2 linked regions of the Arabidopsis thaliana genome follow. The protein of the gene in region 1 interacts with the protein of each later gene in a pairwise test. Each region holds a gene or a part of one and is shown on either strand. Other genes may lie near its edges.

Region 1 (6,620 bases):
ATAGAAATTGTAGTTAGGACGAAAAGATATGAACATAGACATTTTGACCTTTGCAATAAGTAGTGACATTGCCTTGTTTACAAAGGCACAAAAAATCTCGTGTCCTCGTATTAAACCCACAAACTCCACCACCTTTAGTCGTTTCTTGGCAAAGAAGGCACTTCATTGTCACTGGAAATTCGTAATCAACCCTTATCCCGTACTCTGGAAACTGATCATACGGTGCATTCTCCACACCTGTACTCCTCCAATACACACTTGTATACGTCGCACAGTCCTGCAGCATGAGCCTAAGAGATTGAGTCGCTTTAGGGTAATACGAACAACAAGAAACCCTAGATCCCAAAGCAGAGCCACATTCAGGCAAATGTCTGCATAGATAGCTAGAACTATCGCAGGACGAGTCACATCTATCTGGAAACCTTTCGCAGAAGAGCGGTTTTGGTTCGACGATAACTTTATCGGTGTTGCAGTTGAAGAACAAGTAGTCGTTTTGAGGAGAGACAGTGAAGTGTGTACTTGAATCGATGCTAAAAGATCTAGTGGGTCGAAAATTGTCTCGATCTTGACAGTTCCACATGAATGGATCGGAGACAAGAAGGTGAGGATCAGAGTAGCTTATAGATTTAACAGGGTATTTACCAGATGGTGTTCTAAGTTCGAGCTTGGTATCGTTGTCGGAGCAAATGAGCATGTGTCTGTAATAAGGGCTACCACAACCGTCGTCGATGGAAAAAGGGTAATTTATCGGAATGTTGCCGCAAGAAGATCTGCAGAGATTTGATTGGGATGATGTTGTTGATGATTGAAGAAGGATGGTCATGAGAAGGGAGAAGAAGATAATGTAAGAGTGAAGTGGAGACATTGTTCAAAAATTAGGAGTTTAGATTTGATTATTGGGTAGTTTTTAGTTATGAGATTATAATTTGGTGGTGTGAAGTGTTGAGTAAGCTTGGAATGTCTTGTTAAAGAGTTTAAGAATCAATCTTGTCATGTGCTTGTTAATATTGCTTATTTTAGGTTTCGGTTTGTTTTTAAAATTTCACCTTTCTTTTTAGTATAAAGTATTCCAAGAGGACTCGTGGTTTTGTTTCAGATTATTTGAAATATTTACATACAATATGTCAACAAACGTACTATTCTTTTTTCTGATATTTTACAACAAAATTTGTTCTTTAACATGTTATCTAAAAACCATTTAACAAAAAAAATAAAATGTATGAGAACCTTATAAAATACAAAATAGTAATTTCAGTATATAATAGTTTTGAATTTTCTTTTATTTAGAATTTCGTTTAAAGGGTTGTGATTTGTGAAGTAATCTTTGGAAGATAATCTCAATGTAAACAACACATTGGGCTTCTCATAGGCCCAATATAAACAACACATTGATCATTATCCATGTAAGGTGAACTCTTTAATCGAAACCGTTCAATTTCAGTCATCTCAATCCAACGGTTAGTATTCCAAGGAGCACGTAATCCACTCTAAATTCGTAAACACGTGATTTCTCACTAAATATAAAACTTGATACGTTACGCCTTCCTATCCATCCGTCAACGATTAAATCCAATCGTTCAATATAGAGATCCAACGGCTAATAACGAAACATTAGCCCACACGAAATCTCCTTTTTTTTTTTGACGGGATTATACAGTGGGCCTCCACCTGTAATTGTCCATTTAGGAGACAGCGCGGTTAATTTAGCATTATCCCTCCTCACAGTCATCTCTTTCTTCGCAAATAAATGTAACCATCTCTCTTCTCGTTTTCTTCAACAAAAATCCTCATTTCTCTGAGAATCTGGTGCTTTAGCTTTGGTGAGCTCTCTTTCTTATGAAACTTATCGATTCTCTTCTCGTTGATTGTCTTATACTTTTAGTTCTCTGCTTAATTTATTGTCCTTAATACTCGTGGATTTGTTCATAAATCGTTTTCTGAGCAGTTAGGTAAGAGTTTTGTTACCGAATTTCATGTTCTTCGATTTTGAATCTGGATGATTGTATGATGTGATTAGTAGACTCGCTTAGATTTTGTGATCTGTGTATGGTTTGTGGCTAATTTTGGTTTCATCGGTGGTATGAATTTATTTGGGGTTTTAGGTTTGTTTGATTACGTAATCGGACTGTTTACTTGAAGATTTATCGATTATAGTTGTGATCGTTTTTAGTTGATTGAGAAGAAGAAAATAAATTTCATGCTCTTGTTATTGTCGCGATTGTGGCGATTTTCAGTGTCTTATGAATCAATTATGTTGCATGTGAGTCTTGGTGCAATTGAGATTGTTTCCTTTTTTTACTAGATTGCTTGTCTTATTGAACAAAACTTTCCATTTATGTTGAAAAGGTTTATAGGAACGGATGTTTAGGGTTTTGTTGTAATCTGGGTATTTGCTTTCTGATTTCGGCAAGCAAATGTCGATTTCAAGGTTTATATCACTTTCTCTAGCAAAAGAAGTCTTTAGTCATTTGCAAAGTCAAGAGAGTTTTTACTTTATTTATTGCTTCCACGCTATTGCTTCGTGGCTGATTGAGAGAGACCAATTAAACTAATAATTTGTAGTTTGTACAATATATTGCGTGTAACATTGTCCTTCGTTATCTGTTTGAGGAGGAGGACCGAGTTAGCCTATTTTTAGTCACTTTACAAATTTTCTTTTATGTTGCATCATTCAATATGAACTCTCTGATATAAATATATGTATACATACTGGTTGACTTTTATGGGTATGGTTCTCTGCTTTTTTTCTCTGTGATGGTCTCTTGATTCTAACTTTCTTTGTTTTATGTTTTTGGTTTTTGTTGTCAATGAATAGGTAAAATGAAGATATACTCTAGAACGGTTGCTGTTTCACTCATTGTGTCATTCCTCCTGTGTTTCTCTGCCTTTGCTGAGCGCAATGACGGGACCTTCAGAGTTGGACTGAAAAAACTCAAGTTGGATTCGAAAAATCGGCTTGCAGCACGCGTCGAATCCAAGCAAGAAAAGCCCCTGAGAGCTTACAGACTTGGAGATTCTGGAGATGCTGATGTTGTTGTGCTTAAGAATTATCTAGATGCTCAGTACTATGGTGAGATCGCCATTGGTACTCCACCTCAGAAGTTCACTGTGGTTTTTGACACTGGGAGCTCTAACCTCTGGGTGCCATCATCAAAATGCTATTTCTCAGTAAGCAACATTTGGACTATTGTTGTTAGCTGTGGTTGAGATACTTTTGAGTAGAAAACTAATTGTGTTCTATCTCTTTTGCAGCTTGCATGTCTCTTGCATCCCAAATACAAGTCGTCTCGTTCAAGCACATATGAGAAGAATGGTTTGTTCTCTCTCTTAACTTGAAATTTTTTGCAGTTGGATTTCCCAGTTGGTAGATACTTTACAGTTCACTCAATGTAGCCTCTAGAATTCATGTTAATGTGCAGAAAACCATTGTTAAAAGATGCAACATCACTACTGATAGCAGCTGCTAGGTTATAACTAACTTGCTCATCTTTGATGCAGGAAAAGCTGCCGCAATTCATTACGGCACTGGAGCAATTGCTGGTTTTTTTAGTAATGATGCTGTCACAGTTGGCGATTTAGTTGTCAAGGATCAGGTAAACTATATGTCCGACCCTAATCAGTACTCTTACAACATACACATCAATGACCTCCTTCTTAACATTTGTCTATCTCATCAGGAGTTTATCGAGGCAACCAAGGAGCCTGGTATAACATTTGTTGTAGCTAAATTTGATGGTATCCTTGGTCTTGGATTCCAAGAGATCTCTGTTGGAAAAGCTGCTCCTGTTTGGTATGCCTGCACATTCTTCTCTTGTTTGGACTGAGTTACTACATTCCTGTAGTGTTAATGCTAATATGTCTTGTTTTTTACAGGTACAACATGCTCAAGCAAGGCCTTATCAAGGAGCCGGTTTTTTCATTTTGGCTTAACCGTAATGCAGATGAAGAAGAAGGTGGTGAACTTGTATTTGGAGGTGTTGATCCAAATCATTTCAAGGGCAAACATACATATGTTCCTGTGACACAAAAGGGCTACTGGCAGGTTTGTGATACATCACTTCCTTGTCTGGTTTTCTCATAACGTTTTCCAGTGACGATCTAACTCAAGCTATATATATTTTGTTATAGTTTGACATGGGTGATGTTCTTATTGGCGGTGCACCCACTGGTATGTGTAACACTGATTGGCGTTGTTCTTTATAACACATATATATAGCTTTTCCTGACAAATTCAAAAAGGTTTTGCTATTTATGTTTGCTGGTGACAACTGGTTCTAAAGTTTGAGTTACTGTTATACAGGGTTCTGTGAAAGTGGCTGTTCTGCGATAGCAGATTCTGGTACATCTTTGCTTGCCGGTCCAACGGTAAGCAAGAATTAAAATTGCTTATAGCTTTATAGAATTATGGTTTTTTAACTAGTATATGTAGTAATATTTCAATTTTTTCCCTGTGTAGACTATAATCACCATGATAAACCATGCTATTGGAGCAGCTGGAGTTGTTAGCCAGCAGTGCAAGACTGTTGTGGATCAATACGGGCAGACCATTTTGGATTTACTTTTGTCTGAGGTTAGTGTGCTTAATATTGGACTAGCTAATAAAATCTGTGACAAGTCATATGCTGTGCAAATTATTTTGGCTTACCATTCATCCCCCTTGCGCCTTGCAGACCCAACCGAAGAAAATCTGCTCGCAGATTGGTCTGTGTACTTTTGATGGTACCCGTGGTGTCAGGTAAAGTTATAATCTGTAGTCATTGCCATTAAGCTAGGATCTTCATTTTGGAATGCTTGTTTGTTTTTCCGTGTGATCTGCTCATATTTAGTATGATTTTGTTTATAAATTATCTAGTATGGGCATTGAGTCGGTGGTGGACAAGGAAAACGCCAAATTGTCTAATGGTGTTGGAGATGCTGCGTGTTCTGCATGTGAGATGGCTGTTGTGTGGATCCAGAGCCAGTTGAGGCAAAACATGACTCAAGAGCGCATATTGAACTACGTCAACGAGGTAACCAATAAGTTGTCATTTCAAGACTTTTGTGAAACAGTAGTTATTGTTGTCCTGATTACTGATTATAAATCGCTACTGTGGGTTTTCTTAACAGCTATGTGAACGCCTCCCCAGCCCAATGGGAGAGTCTGCAGTTGACTGTGCACAACTGTCAACAATGCCCACTGTTTCACTTACCATTGGAGGCAAAGTATTTGATCTTGCTCCAGAAGAGGTATGATAGTGAACTATTTAAAGACAACATTCATATTATGTAGTGAATATGACCATCTACTAATCTGTTGTACTGGTATGATGTGAGCAGTATGTTCTGAAAGTTGGTGAGGGACCTGTGGCACAGTGCATCAGTGGTTTTATTGCTCTTGACGTTGCTCCACCTCGTGGACCTCTCTGGTAAACCATTGAATCTATTACTCTGTAGCACAATTTCTTCTTGCTTTCTTTTTCTAACCCTAAGAACGGTGGTAAAAATGTAACAGGATCTTGGGAGATGTGTTCATGGGCAAATACCACACCGTATTTGACTTTGGTAACGAACAGGTCGGGTTTGCAGAGGCAGCCTAAACACGATCGGGTTGGTGTCGCGTATGGTTTTAGTATGAACAATCTGCGTCTCAAGTGTTGTTTGTATGTTTTCTGGAGTTGAGGACTTTGAGTCGTAGTAGAAATGGTGGCGCAGTTCCTTTTAAGTTGTTTCCTAACGAAAAAAGGCCTTTGTAGTTTTGAAGGCATTGGCTTTGTAAATACCTTCTAAGTAAGTTCGATGGTGAAAAAACTGAAAACTTTAATAAAGCCTGCCTCTTTTGTTTATGCTTAGTAAGTTGTATCAAATGGTTCGGTAAAAACGGTGTAGCATAAAAAATTTGAAAATGGTCAAGCTCGCTTTATCTTCATTTTCTAACCACATAAATTCCTACGTCAAAAAGTCACGATGATAATAGTTATTTGTCATATATTGAAGAACGTTCCTGCTTGAAACATGCATTTTAAGTTGATAGACTGTTTGAGACCCAATTTTCTAAAACCTTAATAATTCGTCAAGAGCGAGGTAAATTCCCCAACACGAAGCTTGCAGCATCCTTCCTGAATTTCGGAACAAGTATCTATTTTGAACAAGTCTGTGAACTTATGAGAAATTATAATGACAACCCACTTGCAGCGACTGTATACGTATATGGAAGGAAATAAGAACCAATTCGAGAAGTTTTTGTTGCGAAATGAACAAGTTACAACGAGTTACAGTTTCCTATAGCAGAAGAATTGATTAATTTCTACCTTAGCTAAACACTTAAACAAGAAGCAAACCTATACTTGTTTTGTATTCTCTGATCTTTCCCAATCATCTTCCATGTTAACAAGATGCGATAACACCAAACCACAAGCTCCTGATATCAAACTCGAAACATATATATTCAGACGGCAGAATCGCAAAGAAGTTTCAAGTGTTGGAATAAGGTCTCTCAAGTATTCTTTTTGCTGCTTGAACGCGAAAGTTTCGAATCCACAGTGTGCAATTGGTCTCGCAGCACCTGGTTTTCCTCAAGCAACCGGTTAAACTCAATAAGGAACCCTTCAGATTGCTTCTGTAGAGCAACCGCACTAGTTTTC
Region 2 (6,268 bases), on another chromosome or scaffold:
TGGCTTATGTATCAATGACTATTTAAAAAAAAAAAAAAATTGTAAACTAGACAAGATTTTTGCTAACAACCCCAATTATCATTAACTAATTAATTAATGATTTTGTTTCTGTCCCTAATATAGACAGCACAAGTTGTTGATTAAGATTCTTTGTACCACCCTACTCTTAGCTTTGGTCCTAGACAATCAATATAATTAAGTAGGTCCAAATCCAAGGCTTGTTTATGTGAATGTGAAATAAGAAATAATCGGTGATTTTTATTCAAAAAAGAAAAAATAATCGGTGGTGGTCGTTCAATCAGTAATCTCGAGGTCCGAAAGCACAATGCATATCACGAGTTCAAGATTTACTGGTGATTACAATTAACTTGGCACATTGTAATTACAAGATTTTTATATATATATTTCATGTTTCACTAACCATAAGGTAAGGAAATAAAAATAAAAATGAAGGAGTGATTAGTTGGAGCCGTAGGCCGTAGGGAACTTCGTCGTTTCTCGTAGAAAAGAGTGTAGGGACGACAAGAGTTGTTGTGAAATGGACGACTGTGATCGTTAATGTGACTCTCTTTGTCCAATCATGTGTTAGCTGATTCCACACGAAACATAGACCTTATCACACTGGAAGTTTACTTGACACATGTCTCTACTCTTTTATTCATCATCACTCAGACCTTACTGTTTGGATATTTTGGTGGATTCAACTTTGTCGTTTAGTCTCATTCATCGGCTCTCTCGCGTGTATCGCACGCAAATAGAACACTCAATGGCCAAATCTTGGAAGCAGTCAATGGCCACCAACCTTCAATAAATTACCACTAATCATTGGATAGTTCTAAGAAATGTCTACTTTCATATATTAATGCCAATTTTACCGGTTAAATTTTGACTTGACAACAAAAGATTTAACTTTTCTTATGAATACAAAATCAAAGAATAAATTTAAACTGAACAATTGGTATACGAGATAGAGAAACCAACTTCGATCAAAGTATGAGTAACGAAGCTTGATCAAAGTATGAGTAGGTTAAAGTTAAATTACTTTTAACAAGGTAGAGACAGGAGTGGTCGTGGATATAGGTTAGACTAGTCTAAGTGATGGAGCTTAATTAGACGGTTACGAATTGTTTTGCATCACATTCCTAATAAGTACATTAGATGGGTTTGATACAAATCGATGGATATTTATATTGTATTGCTTCCAATTCTCATATTAAAAACATTTGGAACCACATGCAAAAATTTATATGCTTGTAACATAAGTATATAATCTATTTATTTGTTTATTTTGTCAATGCTTAGTGATCAAATTAACAAAGTATAAGTATATGTATGTTTCTATAATATCTGAAATATTTATTCCTAGATAATATGTGTATGCCAAACATTTGATATCGTGTATCTGTAATCATGTTTTTTTAGCAGAAGTCATGAGTTCATACCAAAATTAATATGCAAATTTTATGTTTTTTCTGATGATGGGATTAAATTTGTCGTACTTTTTTGATAAGACAGCAACTATAAGCTTAAGTCAAATTTCTGAAATTGGTCCCCCACACCTCTAAATTTTTGAATCGTTTGTATTTTTTTTGTTACTAAATACAAAATAATGTAAAATTTAAATTTGTACGGCTGGATTCTCTTATCCGATCTATCGCATGCCAATTTCTTCAGGGACCACAATTAGAGGAAATCGTTATCACGACACGTGTCCTCCGATATTTTTGGCGCCGAGTAGTGACGTCATTATTAATGGTCCCCTCCTTCCTTGCTTTTTTCCCATTCGTCTACTCTCCTTTTTCTTTAACAAATTATCTTTTTTTTCCTCCGATATTCTTCAAAATTTGTTTTAAAATCCTTTGCAGATTTGTGTAATTTATTTACTTTTGCTTGGTACCAAAAACAAATAGAGCAAAAATGAGCAATTCTTTTTGATAAGCAGAAAAAAATGTTAGGAACGAATGAAGAAAAAGTGATGCAGCTATTTCCTTTTACTGTCACTTCGTAATTCGTATCATTCTTTTGCCGTCAACTTCTACCATCTCTTTTTTTTGTAAAACGATAAAACTTTTTGTTGTCGCTGTAAATGTTAGTAATCTGACCTAATCCCAATTTATTATGGATCACCAAAAAGCTGGTACTCTACAATTTAATAATAAAAGAAGAAGAATAAATATAGGAATAAATCGTCTTTTTTGGTGTAAGCTACATATAAAATTCAAACCGTCAAACACACATACACATCGAAACCCTTATATTTCATTTTCTTTCTGTTTTAGAGAAGAAAGTTTCTATAATTGATTGATAAATCTGAACATCAAAGCTAAGAATTTCTCTTCTTTTTTTCTTCTTAATTCATCTTTCCCTCTCCGAAACAGAAATTCAAAAACAAATTCAACACGAAAACGATGGCGTTTCATAACAATCACTTTAATCATTTCACCGACCAACAACAACATCAGCCTCCTCCTCCGCCGCAACAGCAGCAGCAACAACATTTTCAAGAATCAGCACCCCCTAATTGGCTCCTCCGCTCCGACAACAACTTCCTCAATCTCCACACAGCTGCCTCTGCCGCCGCTACAAGCTCCGATTCTCCTTCTTCCGCCGCCGCTAACCAGTGGCTCTCACGATCCTCATCCTTCCTCCAACGAGGCAACACCGCAAACAACAACAACAACGAAACATCCGGTGACGTCATCGAAGACGTTCCCGGCGGAGAGGAGTCAATGATCGGAGAGAAGAAGGAGGCGGAGAGGTGGCAGAATGCGAGACACAAGGCGGAGATACTGTCTCATCCACTATACGAGCAACTTTTGTCGGCACACGTGGCGTGCCTGAGGATCGCAACGCCGGTGGATCAGCTTCCGAGGATAGACGCACAGCTTGCTCAGTCTCAAAACGTCGTGGCTAAGTACTCAACTTTAGAAGCCGCTCAAGGACTCCTCGCCGGCGATGACAAGGAGCTTGACCACTTCATGGTAACTTAACTTCTCTTTCCTTCTTACCACTCTCAATTCCCATTATTTTATTCCTTTTCTTTTCTTTTGGAAAATAAAATCACTAAAAATTACTTTCATCTTTTATATTTAAAACGGTTTGACAAATTTGAATATTTTGTTGTTAATTATCTCCAAATTTATAAAAGTAAATTAGAGAAGAAAATCAAAAATTCTTTCTAGACTTGTACTTTGCACCGACAGACATGATCAGTGGGTTGGATAAATCGTCAGTTAAAAATTTGGATATTAGTTTTGCACAGTAGTAATTTGACAGCATAAGGTTTATTTTGAGATAGATTTTTGCTGAGTGTAAGTGATTGAGCAATTTCATTGATTGCAGTTACGGATACAGTGATCTGACAAAAACTAGTTTGTCACTTTCTGTATCTATATCCCATATTTTACTGTTCATGGACGTATTTGTATGATTGTATCTGTTGTCTGAAAGATATTTCCATGTTTTTGTGCAGACGCATTATGTACTATTGCTTTGCTCTTTCAAAGAACAACTGCAACAGCATGTTCGTGTTCATGCAATGGAAGCTGTTATGGCCTGTTGGGAGATTGAACAGTCGCTTCAAAGTTTTACAGGTTAGTTTTTAAGACTTCTACTAAATTATCAACTTTAATTTGTCATTTAGCTGTTATGGTAACTTTTGTATTTCACTATAGTATTGTAAAAGACACAAGGTTCTTTTATTTTATTTCTCATTTCAATGCTGTTTTTTATATTTAGTACCTACTTCTTGAGGTTTTAATTTAACACTTGTTTTGTTGAATGAGACAGGGGTATCTCCTGGTGAAGGCACAGGAGCAACAATGTCTGAGGATGAAGATGAGCAAGTAGAGAGTGATGCTCATTTGTTTGATGGAAGCTTAGATGGGTTAGGGTTTGGTCCTCTAGTTCCCACTGAGAGCGAGAGATCTTTGATGGAACGAGTCAGACAAGAACTCAAACATGAACTCAAGCAGGTAACTAGTGAAATATACTATATCCATCATTTACTACTACACATATATAAGATCAATGATAACAAATCCTTCACACCTTATTATATATCGTTGTAGCTAAAGTAAATATGCTTCTATTTAGTCCAATCAACCAAGAACTTGTCAAAACTTTATTTTTGATCTACAAAAAGACTCAAATGAATTTATGATTTTTAATTGTCTGAAGCTTGTTTGATGAGTTGTCAGTTTGCAACATCTACATAGTACTTACACGCACTTATATGCATGAAAATTGTGGTACACACTATATATAGTTAGCTTAACTAATGATATTGACCCATGTTTTTGTGAAAAGGGTTACAAGGAGAAAATTGTGGACATAAGAGAGGAGATACTGAGGAAGAGAAGAGCTGGAAAATTACCAGGAGACACCACCTCTGTTCTCAAATCATGGTGGCAATCTCATTCTAAGTGGCCTTACCCTACTGTGAGTTCCCTCTTTCTACTTCTTCAGTCACTCGCATGAACACGCCTCGTGGGTCTTTACCTAGTTCTGTCCCGAAAATCTTTGACTACATCATTTTTGCAACTTCATATGCTTTCTCAATCTCCTAAGTTTTAAATGAATCATGTAAATTTTGACAGGAGGAAGATAAGGCGAGGTTGGTGCAGGAGACGGGTTTGCAGCTCAAACAGATAAACAATTGGTTCATCAATCAAAGAAAGAGGAATTGGCATAGCAATCCATCTTCTTCTACCGTCTCAAAGAATAAACGCCGAAGGTACTTTGCACCAACATAACTTTATAGGAAGAGTATCCAAGAAAAGACAAAATATGATCACACGATAAGATACAATCTCTGAAATATATATATGTTAGGTGTGACAAAGTTTAGCTTGTTTATGTATGGTTAGATTAATGTTTAGTTACATTTTCAAGATATATGGAGTCATTAAATTTGGAGGGTTTTCTTTATGAAGCAATGCAGGTGAAAACAGCGGAAGAGACCGTTGAGATCAAGCTTGCATGTAGAGATCCAAAAGCTTTATAGAAAGGTGGAGGCATGAAGACAAAGAATTCTTACACAACAAACGTAGGACGTAATTTTGTGCCAGTACATGGTATGGCTTTCATATTTGGTAATGATTAGGGCCACACAAAATTAAACCCCAAAGCATGATTTGTAATATGAGGTTTTAGATGGACTTTATGATAGGATCGTCAGTCTTCACTGCCATCTCCATTCTCCACCATCAATCCATCATTATATCTTGTGAATAACATGGAAATTTCTCGTTATGCATTTAATTTGTGCAATCATTGGCCGTAATCTACACAAATATACATATTAATTTAGCTTGAATATATTATCTCAATTAATGGTTTCAATTTTTTTGTTTTGTTTTGTGAGTGGAACCACTTTTTATGTGGAATTGTTAACCCTAATGCCAAAATCTAAACTCTGCGAAGGTCGCCAGCAAACGAAAGAAAGAGATTATCTCCGCCGTTGTCAAAATTATTAAAAGGGATTATAAAGTTTTTCAATTTGGGCCCCTTTCCTGCGTTTTCTTTATTGTCCATTATGGGCCTCATTGTCTCTAGACTCTCTACCTTACAGGGTTTGCTCGCCGACGTTTCATACATAGTCCTCTTGTTTCTAAGGATGCCGATTAACACTTTTCATTTTTATCAACAAACTGGCTTGCAAGGGTTTTGAACCTGAGTGATGACCTACCATTTCTATCCATACTATAATCAGATTTTTTTTTGTTCTTTTTTATAATCAAGTTGGTGAAATAATTAACAACAATACTAGCACAAATCATTAACATAATGGTTCATACCTCATAGCCATATAAGATCATGAAAAAGTTATAGTTTTAGAAGTTTGTTTTTATTTTTAGTTAAAATTTAGTTTTTCCAATTAAGACCGAGTTATTAGTTAACAATGTAAAACTTAAGTAAATGCGATTTCTTTGGATTGGTTTGATTCGACTACAGTAAAACATAGGTCTTTGTTTTGTTTTAACCATAATAAAATCAATTGGATTATAAATAACTTTAGTTCTAATTCCGTTTACACATTTAGGTTTGCTTCAATTATAATCCTTCATGGAGATAGATAGCTAGATTAGTGGTGGTAATAATGTATGAGTTGAGAGAGTCTCTTTTTAGGTAGAATAAGATTGCACATGACGTGGCATTGTGAACGTTGTGGGGTTTTGTGATTGGTCTTGTCTTCTACTTACAAGACAGTCATATGAGAGGAGCATTTTAGAGCTGGCCCAATCATAAAAGACAGCTAGCTCTCTGT

The links.
Region 2: the proteins of APA1 (region 1) and KNAT4 interact in a two-hybrid assay, tested with the Arabidopsis thaliana proteins (one large-scale study listed by BioGRID).

The regions. Positions count from the first base shown.
Region 1 is NC_003070.9:4,016,075-4,022,694, reverse strand, and holds APA1 (aspartic proteinase A1), read left to right. Parts: upstream 1-1,929; 5' UTR 1,930-2,698; coding exon 2,699-2,726; intron 2,727-2,815; coding exon 2,816-3,168; intron 3,169-3,252; coding exon 3,253-3,313; intron 3,314-3,498; coding exon 3,499-3,593; intron 3,594-3,677; coding exon 3,678-3,790; intron 3,791-3,873; coding exon 3,874-4,042; intron 4,043-4,128; coding exon 4,129-4,168; intron 4,169-4,300; coding exon 4,301-4,365; intron 4,366-4,456; coding exon 4,457-4,570; intron 4,571-4,670; coding exon 4,671-4,735; intron 4,736-4,852; coding exon 4,853-5,009; intron 5,010-5,106; coding exon 5,107-5,226; intron 5,227-5,316; coding exon 5,317-5,405; intron 5,406-5,491; coding exon 5,492-5,576; 3' UTR 5,577-5,983; downstream 5,984-6,620. Other genes in the region: AT1G11915 (wall-associated receptor kinase galacturonan-binding protein), read right to left, coding at 49-865; AT1G11905 (B-cell receptor-associated protein 31-like protein), read right to left, coding at 6,473-6,620. UniProt on the Arabidopsis thaliana protein: Involved in the breakdown of propeptides of storage proteins in protein-storage vacuoles. Possesses aspartic protease activity in vitro.
Region 2 is NC_003076.8:3,508,000-3,514,267, forward strand, and holds KNAT4 (homeobox protein knotted-1-like 4), read left to right. Parts: upstream 1-1,833; 5' UTR 1,834-2,408; coding exon 2,409-2,981; intron 2,982-3,472; coding exon 3,473-3,593; intron 3,594-3,789; coding exon 3,790-3,974; intron 3,975-4,308; coding exon 4,309-4,440; intron 4,441-4,598; coding exon 4,599-4,735; intron 4,736-4,934; coding exon 4,935-4,968; 3' UTR 4,969-5,742; downstream 5,743-6,268.